Linked DNA regions of Caenorhabditis elegans. The protein of the gene in region 1 purifies or fractionates together with the protein of each later gene. This does not show direct contact. Each region holds a gene or a part of one and is shown on either strand. Other genes may lie near its edges.

Region 1 (3,754 bases):
CAACGTGCCAAAATGGGGGTAAGAACTTGAGTACAAAGAGTACTCCCGAACACCAATGAAGGAAACAATAACGGGGGCTTGTAAAAGGAGAAGGAAAGTGGTAATATATTAAAACAACATTCAAATACAACTTGGATATTCGGTGGTGGGATGATGTCTGATTGCAACTTGTACTCGAAAAGAGTAAACTCAGATGGGATCACGGTCGTCAATCACCGAAAACCGGGGAGATAGGATGTGAAAATGGGATGCGGGCTGATTGGATTGGATTGTTGAGAGATCTACTAAAACGCTACACGCCATAAAATTCAGATACCAGAATCTTCTTACTTAAATCATCATTATTAGAACGGTGAGGAAGGAAAGGAGAAACAATAAATAGGAAAATGAGAAGGATAGGTACAGAATCTAATGGATGTGCAATTCTTACAAGAAGGAAAAAGGAGAACGGAAAGCTTCTAATTTTGTCCCGCATTTTGGAAACCGCTGCGCATACCACCTCGTGGAGCACCACCCGAACCGCCACGGCGGAAGAATTGTCCACCGCGTGGTTGGAAACCTCCACGTCCTCCTCGGAATCCGCCGCCTTGTGGTTGATCACGTTGCTCACTAATTTGAGCATGTCCGTCAAATCCGAATGCATCCAGTTTGAGTGGAAGCTTCCACACGCCTTGCTCATCCTTTGTAGCCGCTTCGAAAATGGCTTTTACTCCGGCCTTGTTACGCATGGTAATAAATGCAAAGGCATGTTTCGATGTGTCGTTCGGACTGTCAAGAACCTTGCGCGGCATGCGAACCTCCTCGATTTCTCCATATTCTTAAAATGAAAATTTAGTGAACTATTGGGACTATTAATTTGCTTACTGTAGAACACCTGCTTGATTTCCGATTCAGCCTGAGCTGTGTTGCTGGGGACAATCTCTCGAGTGATTCCTCCCAAATAGATCTTACGCTCATTTAGGTTGGCATCTGAACTTTCCTGAGCTTGGCGCAATTCATTAGCTGGGTGCGACTGTCTCTGTTGCTGATAAAGAGGAGCATGCGATCCTTGTTGTTGCTGATGCATGGAAGGCTGCATGTGGTGCATTTGTGTTTGCTGATGGATTTCTGAAAAATAAATAATCTGAGACTAGCCCGATCATCTTTCGTTTTTTCAACTCACGCTGTCCTTGTCCATAACTTTGTTGTTGTGGGGGCTGAGACTTTCCACCTCCACCCACAAGATTAGCCCACGTTTTCTGAACCTTTGGCTGTTCTTGAACAGGCTCAGGAACTGGGGCTCTCTGCTGTGGGGGCTGTTGGGCAAGCTGTGGTTTCTGCGGTGTTTTCGCTACCTCCTTTTCCACAGATTTCGGAGTGTCTTGCTTCACTATACGATCTTCAGCTTTCTTTGGCGTTTGCTGCTTTGGAGGAGCCGGCTTTGATTGTTCCTTAGGTTGCTCGGTTTTGGAAGATTTGGAATCCTTTCCATTTGCTCCACTGGCGTGTCCGTTATGACCAGTCGACGAAGTAGTCTTCTCCTTTTCCGTATTCGCGACGAAAAACTTATCAATGTACTGAAAAGCGTCTGATTCGACATAGTATTTTTTCTGCCCTTGTTGCCCAAGCAAAAATGATTGAAGGAATGGACGGAGGTTAACGGTTCCGATAACATTGATAATCACTCCCTGTTTGTGTGGGGTTGGGTATCCCTTAAAAATATATTTGTAGGAAAATCGAAGAACGTCGTGTTTACCTTGATAGATTGAATCTTGAAGTGGGTGGTTTCTGGTAGATGATTGTACAACTTAACAATCTCCTAAAAATATATTAACGAAATGTATTTTTGTCAATTTATATTTGTTGCCAACCTGCGATCCAGTGACCACCTGATCATCCAAATAGAACTTCGATTCATGTCCATAGAACTTGGTAATCGCTTTACGGTTCTCAGAGACGGTGATATAGAACTGATGGCAGAACGCTCCACCGACTTCTGAAATAAAATCAATTTAATGCAATATTCGGGATTGAAAGAATTGAAAGAAAAGGTGTGTAAGCACTTATTAAGTGCGACATGACTCACGTTCAGCGGCTGTCAATGAGAGTGGCTCGACCGGAGCGGTGGAAGTCAAATTACCATTGATCGGATCCATCTTATTCTGGGTTAAGGCCGAGGTTATCTGCATTTAATAATTACCTGAAAATGTTTATTTTTGTTTATAATTTTAAAAACGGTTTATGTAAAAGATGACGAAAAAATAATTTAACCGCTGCTTGCTTCATGATATCAAGTTTAACTATTTTGGAGGAAACTAGTTGTAAAACGGATAAATTGAACCGGAAAACTGAAAACGAACGTAAATCCGAACGCGCGAAATTCGAAAGAGGCGTTTTTTGGCAACGGGCCAGTTTGATTCGCAGGCACGCTCGTTTGAATTTAGTGATGGGTCTCGGCACGATTGCCATTTTGCGAGGCAGTTCAAATACACTTTTCTCTGCATCCTCCGTTTGTAGTACAGTCTTTTGTTTCTTCTCGGTTTTCCACGTATTTCCAGCTTAATTTGCCAACAAGGCGTTTATTGAGAGAACTTCCTACAGATTTATCAAATCATTATTGTCAGTGAAGCGCCTAGCATGCAACTGGTTTTCCTGATTCTCTCTGCTCTTGCAGCTGCTGATGCTTCTGCGGTAACTTTATCAAATAAAATTTATAAATCTGGCTAAAATCGTATAATTACAGAAAATTCTTATCGGCAAATCCTTCGTGACCAAGTATCCGGTTGCACAAAGAGAAAACGCATTTGAATATCAGATTATCAACATTGGCCTTTCTCCAGCTCTCAAGGTATGTTTCAAAAAGTCGCAAAGATTTTCTTTAAAAATTAGTTTCTTTCTTTCGGATAACGCGAATTTTGGTTAGAAATTGTCGATTATTTCAGGTCGAGCTGTCTGATCTCAAATCTTTCCCAACTGACCGATTCGAGATTTTGAAAGGATCTGCAACAGCAAGTTTTCCCGTCATTCCTGCGAATTCCACCATCTACCATCACATTGTTGTCATTCCTCGTGTTCCTCAAGCCATCGAAGATCACGATGTTACCGTGAACTATACTGATTCCGAGACTGGCAAACGTGCGCGAACCTCTACAGTCTCGTATGATAAGAGAGGATACAGTATGTTTTGAAAACAACGGAACTAATTCAAAATTTTAAACTTAAGCTCATTTCTTCGCCGAAACTGCCATGAGAAAAGTGGAAGGAGTCAATTGCACACACTTCCTCGGATTCGGAGCCATCGCTTTTCCATTGACTGCAATCCCAGCAATTCTCTACTGGATCTCCAAACGTCGTTATTCAAACAAAAAACAGGATTAGCTTTCGAATCGTTGTTTAATTTTACTGGTTATCAATCTATGGGTACACATATAAGTCAGCTTTAAATTGTATTTATTAGCACCCGGTTGAAGAATAAAATATTGTAGTTTTTCGACAATTTTATTTTCCACATTTCAATGTCAACTGCGTCAGCCGAATGCAAATTTCAGACGGCACTAGAATAGTTTGCATAATCCCTCTCTTCTCGTTAGTTGAACGAAGCGAGTCGGCAGTCGAGTTGTCAAGAACAACACAGACAAGATGGGCATGAAGAAGGATCTTCTTCTTGTGCTTACCATCGAATCTGTCGTGCTCGGTGTTGTCTTGGGCTTCGTTATTCGACCTTTCAATCCCAGGTGAGAAGATCTTTAAAATCTTTCGGGTCTAAATTGTAAAT
Region 2 (3,754 bases), on another chromosome or scaffold:
CGCATAACCACGTAGTATCAGCATGTCCCATCACGGTTTGATCTACAAAAAATGCGGGATTTTTTTGCCCAAAAATATGTGACGTCAGCACGTTCCTAACCATACGAAATCAGTTGAGAACTCTGCGTCTCAATTCCTGCATTTTGATTTTTTTTTTCCATTTCTTTACCGATTCACGTGGTGTCAAAGTGCCTTCTTTCGGCATGATCTACATAGATCTACAAAAAATGCGGGAGAAGAGACGCAGAGTTCTCAACTGATTTCGCATGGTTAACAACGTGATGACGTCACATTTTTTTTGGCAAAAAATTCCCGCATTTTTTGTAGATCAAACCGTAATGGGACAGCCTGGCACCACTTGAACCCAGCTTTTTTCGATTTTTTTTTGAATTTTAATTATTTAATAGGGGAAAGTCAAAAAAATCGATTTCATATTGTTTCCGCAAGTCGAAATTTGATTTATGTGTATCTGCCCCAAACTTGTCGCTCATTTCCATGGTGATTCTCGCGCCAGCTTCACACTTTTTCAGATTTTCCATTGAAAATGTCATCCGTCACTTGTTTTTCCAACCCATTTCGCTCCTCTCCATAGTCGTTACTTTTTACTTTATATAGCCTCTCTCTCTCAACTTGACAGCGCACACGCTACTCCACAAACATGACATATTTAGTTTCTGCTCCAGCTCTTTTTTCTCCTCCGTTTTCCCCCCGTCCCGGGTGTTATCGATTTTTCGCCGCGCCGCCCTCTTTTTTTTGGGGAAGGCCATTTTTAATACTATTTTCCATCTTTTTTCCGTCTTCCTTCTTCCAAAAACGTTAAAAGAAAGGAAAAAAAAACGAATATTTCTTCCTCTTTTTCTTCCAAGAAAGGCTCGAACCCTGCTGTTAATCGAGAAGAGAGTATACGAAGTCACCGAGAGGAATGCTTGCGCATTTCGCGTGCCTAGTGAGTCGGCAAGTGAGACAGAAACACAGAAAGCATTCGATTTTCTCCTCGTTGCTGCGCTTATTGCTTCATCTATTTCGTCTGTCTTTTTTTTTTCTTTTTTCCGCTTTGTTTTTATGTTTTTTGCGGGTGTATGGACCTTAACACGTCATTTTTTGCAGTTTTTGCACTGAAAATTGGTCGGAAAATCGTTAAAACCTTCTGAAAACTCATTTTAAATTCAATAAAATTAAATATTCATCACACTTTTGTAGATCGTCGCGAGACCCGAGCCAATTCAAAGACCATGCACCTTTAAAAACCATTTCAAGATTTTTCGTGTATTATGCTCGCTTTTCTCTCGGAATTCCAATCGGAAATTAAAAATAATCTTAATTTTCACTTCGAAATCAAGTTTTCAATATTAAATCGTTAGAATTTCATTTAAAACCACCTAGAAATAGCTTAAATTTGTTTAAAAGTTTAAAAACTTGAAAATTAATTACAATTTCTGTAGATCGCTGCGAGACCCGAGTCTCTTCAAACTATATGCGCCTTCGATTACTGCCCTTCTCAAATTCGTTTTTTTCGCTTTTCCCACGGAAAATTGAGTGATTTTTCCATTTTTCCCTCAAGAAATTTCAAAATGAGAAAAATTTCGCAACACCTCTCTCTCTCTCTCTATTCATGATGACTAATAATTCTACGATTTCGCATTGTTTGGGAGAATTTTGTATTTTTCATGAGAGACGCCGTTAAAATTTCCAATTCCGATTTAATATTGTCATTTTCTATTTAAAAACGTTAGAAAATATATTAAATATTGGTAAAATCAACTTAATTTTACTAAAAAACTTTAAAAAATTCAAAAATTTATCAAACTTTTGTAGTTCGCTGCGAGACCCATCGGCAATTGGAACTCCGTGCGCCTTTAACTTTTCGATCAATTTTTTATTTTTAAATCCAAAAATTTTCAATTTCCCGCTAAAAATCGTTAAAATCTTTGTGAATTTCCTTCAAATTACGAAATTTCGCAATAATTTTCTTCTTTTTCTCGAATACCTTCCAAAATGCAAAAATAAAATCGATTTTCGCATGCTCTCCACCCATTAATCTTCCGTAAAGCTGTTTCCATGGCAACTAGCATAAAAAATTTAGTTTTCAGGTGGTTTCCTCCTCATTCGACACTCGCAAGAATGATTATCAAGGAGTAGTAAGTGATTTTTTTATTTTTAACGAAAATTTTGATTTTTCCTGGAAAAAATCGGTTTTTTTCCAGATTTTCCAACAAAAAAAAATCGGATTTCTCCATTCTTTTCCCAAAAAAATCGGATTTTTTCAAGATTTTTCCCGGAAGAATCGGATTTTTTCCAGATTTTTTCAAAAAAATCGTATTTTTCCAGATTTTTCCATTAAAATCGGATTTGTTCCAGATTTTTCCATTAAAATCGGATTTGTTCCAGATTTTTCCATTAAAATCGGATTTGTTCCAGATTTTTTCCATTCTTTTCCCAAAACAATCGGATTTTTTCCAGATTTTTTCAAAAAAAAAATCGTATTTTTCCAGATTTTCCCAAAAAAATTGGATTTTTTCCAGATTTTCAAAAAAAAAAATTTTTTTTCAGCCGAGTTGTGCTTCCAATGTCCGTCGAAGAGTACCAAGTAGGCCAGCTCTGGTCTGTGGCCGAGGCCTCAAAAGCCGAAACGGGTGGCGGTGAAGGTGTGGAAGTGCTCAAAAATGAGCCATTTGACAATGTTCCACTGCTCAATGGACAATTCACGAAAGGACAATATACTCATAAGATTTATCATCTTCAATCGTAGGATTTTCTTCTTTAATTCTGCGAAAAAAATTGGAAAAAAAATCAATTTTTTCAGGAAAGTCCCGGCAATTTTGCGAAAAATCGCGCCAAAAGGTTCTCTGGCTATCCACGAAGAAGCATGGAATGCCTATCCGTACTGTAAGACGGTTGTCACGAATCCAGACTATATGAAAGAGAATTTCTATGTGAAAATTGAGACAATCCACTTGCCGGACAACGGAACGACCGAAAATGCGCACGGTTTGAAGGGCGATGAGCTGGCGAAACGAGAAGTTGTCAATATTAATATTGCAAATGATCACGAGTATTTGAATTCCGGAGATTTGCATCCAGACTCCACTCCATCCAAATTTCAGAGCACAAAAACCGGGCGGTACGGGAAAAACCTTGAGATTTTTCAGTTTTTAAATTAAAAAAATCTGAAATTTCAGCGGTCCTTTATCTGGAAATTGGAAGGATAGTGTACAGCCTGTAATGTGTGCCTACAAGCTTGTTACAGTCTATTTCAAGTGGTTTGGATTCCAGAAAATTGTCGAAAACTACGCGCATACGGTGAGATTACGAGAGGATTTCGTGGATCGACAAAATGGGCGAAAATGCTCAAAAAACGAGCTTTTTTTTGTTTGAAATTTGTAGAATAACCCTATGTCGATTTACGCAGATCGTGTACTCCCCGAGGAGAAGAATTTCAAAGTTTAAAACTGAAATTTTCGATTTTCGTGGTTTTTTCATACTCAAATTGACAATTTATAGGGTTCTTAGGTGAAAATCAACAATTTTCACTTAAAATCTGATAAATGTAAATAAAATTAAATAAATAAAATCTGATAAATAAAGTTTTCACCTAAAAACCTAACAAACTGCCAATTTGAATGTGAAAAAACCGCGAAAATTGCCAAAAAGTCAAAAGGAAAACCTAGAAAACCTCTAATTTAAGTGGAAGAGGTTTTACACAGCCATTCTTCAATTTTCGAGCAAAATTTCGAACAATTCCGGAAAAAAACTG
Region 3 (3,754 bases), on another chromosome or scaffold:
CGAGAAGCGTTCAATGGATTAATTGGCGCTTCAAGCTACAGTGTCGGGAAGAAATTGGTAGCTGAAATGATTTCCCTCAGAATGACACCCGATATTTTCACGTTCAATGCATTACTGTCGTCTGCTGCAAAAGCTGGAAAGTTTGAAGATCGTGTGAAGGCGTTCACTGAAATTATTGGAGAAATGAAAGAGATTGGAGTTGAACCAGCACTGTCATCTTTTCATTTAATTATCAAAAACATCATAGATTTTAAATTATTGGATAATGAAAAACGAGAGAGTGACGAGCAAAAGAAGACCTATAATCACCAGCTCACCGTGGCTATATCTTGGCTCAATGAAATTCAGAATAGCCTTACTGGAAAAACTCTCAAGCCGATTACATCCACTTGTAATCTTTTCTTCGTCGAAGCAATGGGAATCCATTACAGAGCTGCAAATGAGAACCTCGCAGAAAATCTTGTTTCAATTTATGAATCCAAAGCAAACGAAGTAAAGATGCCAGCATTCACAATTGAATCAATGTTCTATAATAGACAATTACAATTGGCTGTGGAACAAAGTGCTTCACTGAACAGAATTTATGATTTGTACACCACCATGGTACCACGACTTGTTGGAGTCAACAATTATCTGTCATCACTAGTTTTTCGAAAACTCGCTGCATCCTCCGATCGTCATTGGCCACTGTTACGGAGAGTAATCATCGACGGTATTGCAGCTGGACAGATGAATGGAGTTATTGGAGAAGAAATGCGCAAACAGTTGTGTAATGTACAACTACATGTAAGTTTTATTTCCAAATATCTTGTGTTTTTTACAAGTTTTTTTCAGACATTGGGAACTAGTGAACGGGAGCAATTCACATCTCTTGTCCAAAAATTGGTTGCAGTTTGGGTTGAGTTCAGCCAATTCACAGAAGAGAGAATGAGAAGGCTCCAAAGGAAACTGTCGCCTAGCCAGGTTTTAATATTATTTTTCAAACCATAAGTCGTATATTTCTCAAATTTTGCAGATCTCAGAATGTGCTTTGCTCTTGACCAGAATCGGAGAACAGCAGAAAGCTTACGAACTGTTAGATCTACTGCTTGATGAAACTGCAAGCAGTGGGGACGAAGCGACTGTTTATCCACGTGGACATGCTAGGCCATGGGCAATGGCAGAATTGTTCGAAGATGCTCTTAGAAAACGTGATACATATGCTGCAGCGACTTGCCTGCAAATTATGTCGTTGACCGCCAACCGTGCAAAACTTGAGCCTCTCGCCAATCGCATTTTCGAGAAATGTAATGTGAATCAAGAGCAAGTTCGAATTATTCAAGGATTCATTCGTCTTCGCCCACAATAATTTTATTTCGTTTAGCCTAGGATAGTTGTAAAGTTATTTTGTTTTTGTTTTGTTTTGCTTTCAAAATGTCTCCCATAATAAAACTTATTTAAAAATTTGTTCAACATGTTTTTTTTTCAAAGGTCGTTCAATTTGAAATTAAAGGCGCATCGAGTTTTCATCTGAGTGGGTCTCGCAACGCTGTCTAAGGTATACGGTAGCTATTCGCACTACTTCAAAAAATGTTACCTACTGTCCCAAAATATTCATTTCCGTGCACGATTTTTCAGTATTTCTTGTTGAAATCTTCATATTTTTCAAGTATCTAACAAAAACGTGTTTCAATAGTTCTTTTTTCAAGTTATAAGTTATAAGATTTAGAGAATGCATGTATCCCGAAAAGTTGCATAAACTTATTCAATTTTTTTCCAACACGTTATTCGTAAATTTTAAGATATTGTTCATAATGCAATCGTTCTCCGATTTCAGGTAGTATTCACTAACAACATTCACAATGCCTGCTACACCGGTTCCACCGGTAACAATGCCACCAGTGCCACCAGTTGGTTTTCCACCGGTCACCGCTCCGCCAGGACTTCATCCACCACCACCAGTCCCACCGGTTCCGGTTCCGACTCTTCCTGTCACCTCGGAACACAAAACTGCTCACGATGCGTGTATTAAGCGACTCGAACAGCTTGAGGTGAGATCGGTTCTCGTTATTGCTTAGAATAAATATGATATTTTAGATTCCGCCGGATCCGAAGATCTATCCTTCTCCAACCGAACCTGGAACTTTCGGTAGCGTGACTGAAGTCCTGACAAATGTGTTTGGAGTCGAAGTACATAAAACTTCCAACTTTTATCAATACAGTGTGCACATCACTGCTGAACTTTCATCGAAGAAAGAAGTAACTTTCACTAAAAAAGGAAAAGAAGAGTAAGATATTGATGATCGAATTCAAATTTCCTATGCATTCAATTTCAGCTTCATTGTTCATGACCGCCATGAGAAGTGCAGTGCTATTCTGTTCCACGCATTGAACCGCTTTGAGGACTTTTTCAAGTCGTCTGAGAACTGCATCATCTACGATGGACAGAGCATTCTCTTCACCAGCATGAATCTTTTTGAAGGAATTCCAACTGGAAAAATTAAGGTATCGAGATTTTATTTGTACTTTCGATGCATTCCTAATTTCAGACAAAAGTGTTTCAAATTAACGGTGCGGACACCAACTTGAAAGACCTAATGGTGCTGCCGTGTATCAAACTGGAAGTTTTTCCTACCAAGAACCCAGTCGTGAATTTCTCCCTGGAAGATATTGGAAGACGTACATCGGATTCTAACATCGAGTCTGTCAATATGGCTTATAAGCAGATTCTCGATCTCGCTATGAGTCAGTACGCAATTCGCGAAACCTCCAAATGTGTAGTGTTCGAGCACGGAAAGATGTTTTTCATTAATCCATTGCAAGAAGGGTACGCTCCATGCGACATTGTGGAAGTTGGAGATGGGAAACAAATGAAACCGGGTCTCAAGAAAACCCTCCAATTCATTGAGGGTCCATACGGACGTAACCAGAATAACCCATCGATTGTCATTGACGGTTAGTTTTTAGCTCAAAATAGACAAGTATATTTCAATCTTCAGGAATGAAGGTGGCATTCCATATGGAGCAACTCGTTTTCCAAAAATTGTCATCGATCACATCCAATCTGGCTAACGGAATCACTGGATCCGAAAGAGAACGATGTGCAGCTGTCATCAAAGGACTTGACTGTCATTCAAACTATAGAGGACGCACACGTCATCACAAAATTGAAAGCATTCATCACGAAGGAGCCGCAACTGCCAGATTCGAGCTCGAAGGTGGTGGTACTTGTACCGTTGCCACCTACTTCAAGGATAAATATAAGATTCAACTTCGCTATCCGAACGCCAATCTCATCGTTTGTAAGGAAAGAGGAGCTCTCAACTTCTATCCCATGGAGTTGATTACTATCAGTCCAAATCAACGTGTTAGAATCACTCAGCAAACAAGTTCTCAAAGTCAACGAACCACAAAAGAAAGTGCAGTGTTGCCAGACATTCGCCAACGTTTGATCATGACGGGAAAGATTGCAGCGAAGATCACAGCTGAAAACGAGGTGCTCGGTAAAATGGGAGTGACTGTTTGCGATGAGCCTCTTGTGGTGAAAGGGCGAAACCTCCCGGCCATTAGGTTGGCTTCATTTGAAACGGGTGAACATCTCATCAATCCAAGAGATTGCAAATGGCGCCCACAACGCTACAACCGTTCAGCTGTGGCTCCGAAAGTATGGGCGTTGTACGGCGTGGGGTCGCCGGGATCACAAATGAATCGCGACGTTATGAGGTTAGTCTTACTCTACTTAAAATTGATTGGTTTTTTCTGATTTTTCAGACGT

What was found.
Region 2: the proteins of gtbp-1 (region 1) and Y54F10AR.1 fractionate together in Caenorhabditis elegans (co-fractionation; one large-scale study listed by BioGRID). This does not show direct contact.
Region 3: the proteins of gtbp-1 (region 1) and ppw-2 fractionate together in Caenorhabditis elegans (co-fractionation; one large-scale study listed by BioGRID). This does not show direct contact.

What each region holds. Positions count from the first base shown.
Region 1 is NC_003282.8:10,126,778-10,130,531, forward strand, and holds the start of gtbp-1 (Ras GTPase-activating protein-binding protein gtbp-1), read right to left. Parts: upstream 2,180-3,754; 5' UTR 2,169-2,179; coding exon 2,066-2,168; intron 1,976-2,065; coding exon 1,851-1,975; intron 1,799-1,850; coding exon 1,736-1,798; intron 1,692-1,735; coding exon 1,163-1,691; intron 1,108-1,162; coding exon 865-1,107; intron 818-864; coding exon 459-817; 3' UTR 1-458. Other genes in the region: K08F4.3 (Translocon-associated protein subunit beta), read left to right, coding at 2,617-2,670, 2,723-2,827, 2,922-3,156, 3,203-3,357; Putative sodium-dependent excitatory amino acid transporter glt-3, read left to right, coding at 3,619-3,713.
Region 2 is NC_003281.10:2,574,053-2,577,806, reverse strand, and holds the start of Y54F10AR.1 (Phosphatidylinositol transfer protein N-terminal domain-containing protein), read left to right. Parts: upstream 1-2,121; coding exon 2,122-2,138; intron 2,139-2,550; coding exon 2,551-2,745; intron 2,746-2,803; coding exon 2,804-3,121; intron 3,122-3,179; coding exon 3,180-3,300; intron 3,301-3,754.
Region 3 is NC_003279.8:5,160,292-5,164,045, reverse strand, and holds the start of ppw-2 (Piwi domain-containing protein), read left to right. Parts: upstream 1-1,813; 5' UTR 1,814-1,841; coding exon 1,842-2,030; intron 2,031-2,076; coding exon 2,077-2,267; intron 2,268-2,315; coding exon 2,316-2,484; intron 2,485-2,528; coding exon 2,529-2,934; intron 2,935-2,978; coding exon 2,979-3,702; intron 3,703-3,750; coding exon 3,751-3,754. Other genes in the region: let-630 (Small ribosomal subunit protein mS39), read left to right, coding at 1-786, 835-963, 1,016-1,348.